Oryzias latipes: one gene and its partner. The protein of the gene in region 1 interacts with the protein of each later gene in a biochemical or structural test. Links are inferred from orthologs where the notes say so. Each region holds a gene or a part of one and is shown in the gene's direction. Other genes may lie near its edges.

Region 1 (4,791 bases):
AATATAATCTCAGAGTACTTTTGTAGTTTAAAATACTTTACTTGATATAAGACCAACTTTACCAGTAGCTGATGAAATCTTAAATATCTTTTAAAATTTTCATATTTGTAAGCCAAAGCTTAATTTTTGATGGTGAGTGGTTATTATGAGGAAGAATCTGGCTCAGTTAGAGGAAACTCGACTCCAAAAACAGCAAAACTGCATTTATCAGGAGCAGGACAGTAAATAAATATTCATCACGTGAAAGTTTAAAGACAAATTCATCTTAATGTGGGATTCTAGTAATTTTCTAAAATATCTAGAAATATTGATAGTTGGACTGTTGTAGTACTTAAAATAGAAATTAAATCTGAGGGAAACGTGTATAAATACAGCTTTACTTTAAGGACAAAAGGCTCTTTATTTCTCAGCAAGAAGGCGTTGGTTCAAATCCCGGCTGGGTGGCCTGAAACAGAATCACCAATGAGGGACGTTTGCATGTTCTCGTGTGTAAGATCATAAATATCATTCCTATTATGACTTTCCTTTTTAATTTTTTATTCATTAAATTACAAAATAATTGAGTTCAACTTTTTTAAACGTAGATTTGAGCTTAAAAGATTGTATTTTTATCATTTGCCTGGTAATGAATACTTTATACTGTAATTATATGACAGTCTAGTATTTTTTATTCTGTCTTAGTATAAAAAATAAAATGAGTTTGTCATTTGTGTGGCAAAATGACTCTAAATTTATTGATAAAAGTGAAAAACCACTAGAGAAAATGCAGGCGTGTGCACCCACAGGAACGCGGGGGGGGGGGGCCCCTTTTGCCACGTAATAAAGAAATTCCCTGTTTTTTCTTTTTTTGTACTAACGTGAATACATTTCTATTAGAAAATCTCCTGATGTTCTGATATGTGACAGAATATGAATAATAACTGCAGAATCCTCCCAGCAACAGTTTTTGATAACACTAAGTATTGTAAATAGTTTCAGCATTCTGGCGATAGAAGTTGTTGAAAATCTGATTTTAAAATATTACCATCTGGATTAAACTTGATTCATGATTATTATGTCTGCAGCACAATGTGCCAACAGAAAGAGCCTCCAGTGTTTTATTGTTTTGACGTCTTCCAAGTCTGTGATAAAGTGAACAAACTCATGTTGACAATAATTTGTTTACATAACAGAAATGACAATTGTTTCACTTTCACCCACAGTAGCAGAATTCTTAAATCTATTGGTAGTTTATTTTAAAATTTGACTTAGTTTCAGTTTTGATTAAAGGACAAAATCTGAGCTTTTGCTGCCCTTTTCCAACTTCCATGTGCTCCTGATTCCCAGTCAAATTTGGCTGTTTTTATGCTTCACATAAAGGTCGTAAGCCATCCCTTTACCTGAAATTGTGTTGTCAGGAAGGTGTATTATTATCAACATTTTTATTATATTTACATTTTTTTATTTCTTTGGAACAAAAAAAGAATCCTTGAATAATGTCTATGCACAAACAGTGAAAACTCCACAATTAGAAAAACTTTTTCCGTTGGCTAACAGACAGAAAATCTCTAAAACTGGGTAGAAAACGAGAAAAGAGTACAGAGCAAGAATAGTGCCGCGCGGAGTGCTGCACGTGCGCGGAGGCTGCAGCGTGTGTAGGTTCGCTGGTCTCATTTGTACGTCGCTGGCCCCGCCCCCCGCCCCGCCCTGCCCGCCGGAGATTGGAGTCTGCTGGGAACTCCATGGTGCTAAATTTTTCAAGATGTCGTCGCTGGAACAGAGGCTCTCGAGGATCGAGGAGAAGCTAAAGCAGGAAAACGAAGAGGCCCGTCGGAGAATTGACTTGAGCATCGACATGAGTCCGCAGCGATCACGCCCGAGGCCAAGTGAGTGTCCAGCGGGGGTCACTGGGGTTCGGTGACGGCCAGAACAGCGAGGGGAAGATCGGAGAGAAGGGGTGGGGTGGGGTGGGGTGTATGAGGGCTGTTATGCTACTCCATGCTAAAAGCTACATGCTATCATGCTAACTACGTAAACAAACATGAACAAGAATAATGATTTATTATCGTCAAAGCGCTTCTTCAACAATCAAGGCAGCTTCTGTTTTGGGTTCTTCACTGGGAGTGTCGGTGACGGCGGTGTGAAGTATAACCGCGGTAACCTTGTACCGCAGTCCGTTTTGTTTCTGTCCTGTCAAACATGCTAAGCTAACGGGCTAGCTCCGCATCCATCGCTAGGCCTGTAAAGTATTCAACGTTGTTTACAGCTTTTCACGCGAATGTGCAGAAATGCCACTCATGCCGTAGTTTCATTGTTCTTAAAAAACGTCCTTTTATACTAGTTTTTATTTCTAAAAAGCTTGTTTTCGATGCCATTTTATGTGTTCCTAAGCAGGCTAATTCGATAAGCTAGCTGCGTCAAACAGACGTCAAGTTTGATTTACTCGCAGCTGAACGGTTACACGTAAAGCTGCCGTACTTTGTTTTTCCTTTAGTCTTTTTATATTAAAATAATTAAAGCACAAATAGCAGACGATTATCAAAACTAAAGACAAGAAGAAAATGATAATAATCTTCACTTCGTACATACTATCAGTCAAAACAGTCAGTTGTTTCCGCTCAAGAAAAATAATTATTGACAAAAATGGGAAGCCTCTTGGATAATAAGAGGTGAAACGTCTTCCAACTTTAAAAACTAAGTCCAGATGACAGCCCCTAAACCTACTACTATAAATAAAAAGAAGGGTTATCTCCAGCTTCTATTTTTTTAAAGAACTCCCTTTGACTTCATTTGTTTTTGTAGGGGTTCTATCTTAAGATCTAAACCTTTAAAATTCTGTAAATAAGTTTGAGAATAATAAACCTCAACCTTAAGTTTTTCACTCTGTTGTGACACAGAAACAGAATTTATTTGAAAATTTTCTTCTGAAGAATGAAGGACATCTGAACGTGTTCTTCGGACATATTTGCTGATTTTAGTACTGATCGTCAGTCGTTGTTATTTATGTTTCAAAGTTTTGTTCATACATTTCTCATCCTTTTTCTCCATGCTAGTGAGCCTCGATGCATAGTGGTTTTTCGCACAGACCTCTGGTAAATTCCTCTGAAAAAATGGCCTAAATAGTGCACCACCCGGCAGGGGGGGTGAATTCTGAAAAGGCCTTGGAGCGAAGCTCCAGTTGAGATGTTTTGGTTTTGGCCAACAGTGGAAAAAGTTGCACAATATACTTTCATTTGACATTATTTACGTTAAAATGGCATGATCTGTCACTACTGTGGCTCTGTGGGATAACCTGGACTTTTTGTTTTGTCTTATGGAGTTGCTTGGCTCTTCGTGTTAATATTTAATTTCCTTTTTTAATTCTATTTCTTTCTAATTGGGATCAGAAACATTGGTAGTGTTGTGCCCATGAAGGTTTTGTGCCCGTGTCTTCTCATTGTTTTGCAAAAAAGAAAAAAAGCGAAAAGCTGAAGTGTGTTTTATTTTCATGAGAACATGATGAAATGTGGAAGTGTTTGCTGTTTCCTGTAATGTGCGTGTGTGTATGTATATTTTCTTTCCTCTGTCTAGTCATCGTGATCCAGCTCAGTCCTGCTCCAGCCCCCTCCCAGCGTGCAGGTATCATTCATTCACCTCTGCCACTGCTCCCCACCACCTTCCAGCCCTCCGTTCTCTGCTCCGCTCTCCTCCTCTCCATCACTTCCTCTCCATCTCATTTCAAACATCCAGAGAAACATTCAGCTCAGCCAGGAGCTTTAAAGCTCCTGACTAAATATTTACTTCTTCTTGACATTTTTATGTGCTTTTATTTCTTCTATTTTACTGTGTTTAGAACGATGGGATGGGATAAAACCTTTTTATTGTTAATTTGTCAGATAAAAAAAAAAACTTTTCTCCACTTTATCAGAAAATATTTCCCCCCAACATGTCACAGCTCATCAAAAGGTTGCACAAACTCATGCATCCAGTACTTTTCCACCGCTGACATTTCAACCCTGCAGTTCTTCATCCTCCACTTTCTCACCCTTCTGTGCGTCTGTGCCAGTGGCAGGGCAGTGTTGGTTCGCATTGATGTGTTTGTGTGCTTCAGCACACGTGGAGGACCATTAACATTTGTTCTGCTGGAGGCAGAGAACCCCCTTCTTGTGCATGTGGCTTTGTTTTGTTTTTTTGCACGGCGTCGTGGAATGGGTTGTTTTTGTTTGAGCGTCTCTAATCCAGCATCCCCACCGTTCTGTCTGCAGGAGCGGGGAAACCTCCGCCTGGTTTCCCTTTCTCGTCTGTTTTCCTAACGGCACAGCTGAATGTTTTCCTTCCTGGTTCAGTGTTTCTGACTTACAGCTACGTCTTGCTATGCAGTTTTTTTTTATCTACCGTATCTCTCTCACTTTGGACTGTTTTGATGTTTTTTTTCCCCCCTCATCTCCTGGCTCCTCCCCTTTTTTGCAGTGGCGCTGTGTGAGCAGGAGGCGGGCCTGCTAGCATCTGTGTTGGTCCGTCCGTTCCTCCTCCCATCTGTTTAGAGGCTGTCAGAACTTTGGAGATGAAAATCTGTGCCGACGGCCGCTGGCGTCTGCCCGTCACACTAACCCCCCCCGCTTCCTTTCACCAACCATTTTCCCCGAACAGGCCGACCCGTCCGGGCCGCTCCTGGACCCAAACACTGGTGCTCCTGGCAGAGCCCTATCTCACTCGTGCAGAAAAACTCTGAGCAGCAGGAAGTGACTGCTAGCAGACATTTAGTCTAGTCATACCTCTAGTATGCAGTGAGACCGCGTCACTGAAGGGTGTAAACACAGATTCCACTGGACA
Region 2 (4,750 bases), on another chromosome or scaffold:
AAAGTAACCAATTGTCAAAGTGACAAAGAATCAAAATAACATTGTGTCATCGTGTCAAAGCATTAATGGTATCAAAGTTTTTTTATTGTTCAACAAAAGACATCTCCCCGGCTCACCCGCTCCAAAGGACGATGGACTTCATTCGCACACTCACCGCTGTCTAACCAGGTGACACGCCCACCACACTGGTGTAACCAATAAACCAACTGCCGTCAAATGGCGAGTTTTGGCACCAGAATGTGATAACACAAATAGAAAAGGGATTCCTTCTGGCTCCAACGAAATAAAGTCACTTCGGTCGTCAGTTTTTGGCAGGCAATATGGACGCTGGCATGTCGGAGCCAGAATAGTCAGTGGGTGTGTCCAAATTCGAGAGCTGCATCTTTCAATGGCCACGGCCTTCCTGGGCGACGTTGGCCGGGTCCTGCGTCAAGTGGGTAGGCCGGATGTGAATGGCTGTGAATTTGGACTAGTCTTGCCTTTAGATAATTCCAGGCGCTGCATCGGCGAATGTCCCGTTGCCCAGCAACCGTGAATCCCAAACAGAGAGTAGTGAACAAGGAACTGAACAAGGACTTTTCCTGGCTTATTTGATCCAATTTTAATCTTGGAGGAGTAAATATAATAAGGTGTAATTATCTCCAACTCCGGGTTCCACTTCACAGTCCGCCACTGTTGACAGAAAATCTCCGGGTTTGGCTGCAATGCATCTTGGGATATGTACAGCATAGAAGGATACAGCAGACCAATCCTTGAAATCGGGAAAAAGAATGCCGTATATCTGAAGTAGTCTTTGAATTTGGACAGCACTTGTGGCGGCGCTGTGACGTAAGCAGCCCTCAAATGCAGTCCAGGAAGAATGCAGTCCTCGAATTTGGACACAACCAATGTCAGTGATGTGTCCGAGTCGGTCAAAGTCAATGTTTCTATGGCAACCGCTCTCACCAGTCAGGAGTGAACTTGTTGGACGGCCGCAACCCTTCTTCTGGAAGTGGGCTTGAGAGAATCAGTCAGTCAAACGCTTCAAACATTCGACACAAGACCACACACTAATATGGAGGCATCTGATTGGTTAGTTTATAAATAATAGTTAATAACTCACAATACAGAAAAATATCATGTTAAAAAAATCTGTATAACCATTAACATGTTAAAAAAGAAAGCAGAGCAAGAAGGGTTATTTTTACAAGTTTAACAACTGAGTAACAGCTGTTTATGTCTCTTTGGCATTTTTTTTTTTGGGGACCAGCAGGTACTTCCTGTTTGAAACGCAAAGGGGGAGGAGTCACTCAGTCCAGTTCTCACATACAGTCAATGGTTTTTACCAACCTGGCAGAATTCTAAATGGCATTTCAAACAATGTTATGTGATTTTAAAGCCAAAGGCAACAACAAAGTGCTAAAGAATCAAACACAAGTTAATATTTTGTGTTGAATTAATTTATCTTGAAAAGAAATGGACGTTCCGCAGCAGAAAGCGCCCCCCTCCCAGACTTTATTGACAGAAAACATAATACAACAACATGGTGAATGTCTCAGGGGTTACTGAAATGTGTACACATTGTAGAAATAAATAAAAAAATCAAACAACATTATGCATATATAAACATACATATACTATATATGAGAAAAGAAACATCAATTCAAAAAACATTGGGGTTTAATACATTTAAAATGTTTCAAAAATCAAATTAGTTCGAATTTCCTTTTGGTTTTGAAGTTGTTCAACAGGAAGCGCTTTTATTTTGTTAGTTGACCCGGAAGTTGCGTGCTTCTGAGCGGAAGCTTGGCGGTTGGCGGTCATCTGACGACTCTTTTCCTGTTGGGACAGAAAAGTTTTGAAACCCCACCCTCCGCGCTGCCTGTGTGAGCACCGACGTGAAGTGGGTCGAGTATCTGGCGGCGGAGAGCTGCCCGAGCCGGAGGAACGTGATTGGAAGCTACGATGGATCTGCCGCGCTCTGCGGACGTCACCGGGACCGACTGGAGCTCCGAGCCGCACCGGACGGTGCGCTGAAAGCCCCACACCACCGACACAGAGAGAGAGAGAGCTAACGGGATTCGGTTTGAGGAGCCCTTCCTGTTCCAAAGTCTGCGTGTTTTTTTTTTTTTTTTTTTTTTTAGCGCTTTAATCTCAGCGTGGAACTGCCCGTCATGGGGGGCGCGTGGAGCCTCCGCCTCAGAGGGACGCGGGGTTTCCTTACGGGGTCCCGGAGCGCTCACGCGCACTTGCTGGATGTTGGGTCTCACTAACTAAGGCTGGCTGGCTGGCTGGACAGAAGGCTCCTTTCCTGCCATTCTTCTCCGCCTCGCGGCGCTTCCTGCCCGCGGTCACCGCCGCATTTAATGGCTACAAACCCAGAGATCCCCGCAAACGGACAGATGGGTGTTTGGGGTTGCTGTAGCAACATTCACAGGTGTTTAACCCCTCTAGTTGTGTCTAAATAAGAGCCCAACAGGTGGCATTGTGGATGAAAAACTTCATAAGGATAGAGGAGAAGTGGAAGGATGTTTTGCTCATGTGTTAGAAAGCTATCACTCCCACAGATTGCTTGTGTTCATTTTGAAAGGATTAAGTGTGAAACGTCTCCTCTTAAGATCATGGAGAGGTTGGAAAAAGAGTTGACTCTCCGCTGTCTTTGACGCCACTCCTGTCTGTCCAAAATTTGCACACATTTCTTTGGTCCCTGATGAGCCAACAAGAAAGACAGGAAAGGGAGCGAGGCGTCATAAAGTACTCCTTTGTACTTTATTTTCCAACCCCCGGTGTGCAAAGTCAGATCCAGTCAAAACATCTGCTGGAGGCTCCATGGAGCCGCTGAAGAACATATTCAGTCGCAGCTCATTGTCGAACTGGAAAAACTTGGATCAGTCGCAAAAGGGGAACTTCACCAACCCTGTATGGACGGCCTTGTTTGACTATGAGGCGTCTTGTAAAGATGAGCTCACCTTGCGCAAAGGTGACCTGGTGGAGGTGCTTTCTCTGGACTCTGAGATTTCAGGGGACGAGGGCTGGTGGGCAGGTAAGGTCAACAACAAGGTGGGCATCTTCCCATCCAACTATGGCTCCTTCAAGCCCAGTGGATACGCCAAGCTCCCTAGTAGCGGTGTGGTTGGCGAGCTCGGCCAGGCCGTGGTGGCCCAGTTTGAACCTGCGGACGTGGATTTCCGGGAGCTGAGCTTGCAGGAGGTGATTGGGGTCGGGGGCTTTGGGAAAGTGTATCGCGGTACATGGAGGGGCGAGCTGGTGGCAGTGAAGGCGGCCCGTCAAGACCCCGACGAGGACATCAGCGTGACGGCCCAGAATGTGATGCAGGAGGCGCGCCTGTTCGCCATGCTCACCCACCCCAACATCATCACCCTGAAGGGGGTCTGCCTGCAGGAACCCAACCTGTGCCTCATCATGGAGTACGCCTCCGGTGGGCCGCTGAGCCGAGCGCTGGCCGGCCGCCGCATCCCGCCCCATGTCCTGGTCAACTGGGCTGTGCAGATCGCTAGAGGGATGCTGTACCTGCACAGCGGGGCCATCGTCCCCGTCATCCACCGGGACCTCAAGTCCAACAACAGTAAGTCACAGAAGTTTGTCTTTGTACTCACTTGTCGGTGATGGAGTCTAGGCGATATTTACAAATTATTTGGACAGCATGCATGTTCTGTAAGTGTTGTTTGACTGCACGGTCACATGACTGACCAACTGAAGAGGAGCCCAGGGCAGACTGGAATGCTTTCCCGGTGACAGTCCGGTTTCAGGTTGAAAGCTTTCTATCTCTGCTGGGTTATGAAACTTTGGACTTTGATGCTGCTTTGATGCAGCAGAAAATGGCTTGCATCAGCATATCAGGCCCTGCAGCGGACACGTATGCACCCAAGCTTGTCATGAAAGCTCAACTACATACAACTACATACAAACACTCTTTTAAAGAGCACCCACTCCAATGAAAATGGTGCTTTTGGTGTATTTAACATGTTCTTGTGACACTTTCTCCTGACGAAGGTCCAATGACGTGCGGTCAGGTGAGGCAAGTGAGGCACAGCCTCACCTGTCATAATTGTGATAAAATAGAAAAAGGTAAATTAGGTACATATTTTCCACTGATAAATATACATTTTCAGTCAACTCAACACGTTTTTTACAGTTTCTGAGGTTAAAATCGCTGAAGTTGAGTGTTGCGCGATCACAGACGGAGTAAAAACTCCGGTTGAGGCTCTGAAGCGCTGTGCCTCATGTCTGACAGCAGGACTCAATGTTAACAGAGACGTGCGCTGAAAACGCTGCTGTAGGCCCGCAGAAAAGGCTTCAGGTGAGGCGTGCCTCACCAGCAGGGGGCAGACATGAGCTGACAGCTGCTTTGTAGCTACACTGGTGCCGTAGAAACGGAACAGAAGATAAAGGAAAACAGGAAGACTTTTCCAACACATCATAGAGCTTTTTGTGGAGAAGGATCAAGACAAGGACTCAAAGCATAAGGCCAAACATGTTTTTCAATGTTTTTTTTTTTTTAAATAACATGGGAGTAAGTGGGAAAAAATGTAAGTAAAATAATTTATTTTATTTTTACAATCATTTTCACAGACAATATTTGATAACACTGATTAAAACACCAGAATTTGAAGTTGGAAAAATACCAGAAATAGTCACTGAGGGTCAAAATGAAATGTGTGCTGAACACATGTGTTTGCTTTAATTTGTTTACAGTACATATTAATAACTTATACACAAGAAGAGTTTTCTATCCATGTCTATAAAATAC

The links. The genes of interacting proteins can lie anywhere in the genome.
Region 2: of the proteins of map2k7 (region 1) and mitogen-activated protein kinase kinase kinase 11, one has a biochemical effect on the other in vitro, tested with the Homo sapiens proteins (2 studies listed by BioGRID). The link is inferred for Oryzias latipes from reciprocal best matches to the Homo sapiens genes MAP2K7 and MAP3K11.

Annotation. Positions count from the first base shown.
Region 1 is NC_019859.2:2,777,787-2,782,577, forward strand, and holds the start of map2k7 (dual specificity mitogen-activated protein kinase kinase 7), read left to right. Parts: upstream 1-1,696; 5' UTR 1,697-1,741; coding exon 1,742-1,865; intron 1,866-3,549; coding exon 3,550-3,597; intron 3,598-4,791. UniProt on the Homo sapiens protein: Dual specificity protein kinase which acts as an essential component of the MAP kinase signal transduction pathway. Essential component of the stress-activated protein kinase/c-Jun N-terminal kinase (SAP/JNK) signaling pathway.
Region 2 is NC_019876.2:27,257,505-27,262,254, forward strand, and holds the start of mitogen-activated protein kinase kinase kinase 11, read left to right. Parts: upstream 1-1,646; 5' UTR 1,647-2,808; coding exon 2,809-3,565; intron 3,566-4,750. UniProt on the Homo sapiens protein: Activates the JUN N-terminal pathway. Required for serum-stimulated cell proliferation and for mitogen and cytokine activation of MAPK14 (p38), MAPK3 (ERK) and MAPK8 (JNK1) through phosphorylation and activation of MAP2K4/MKK4 and MAP2K7/MKK7.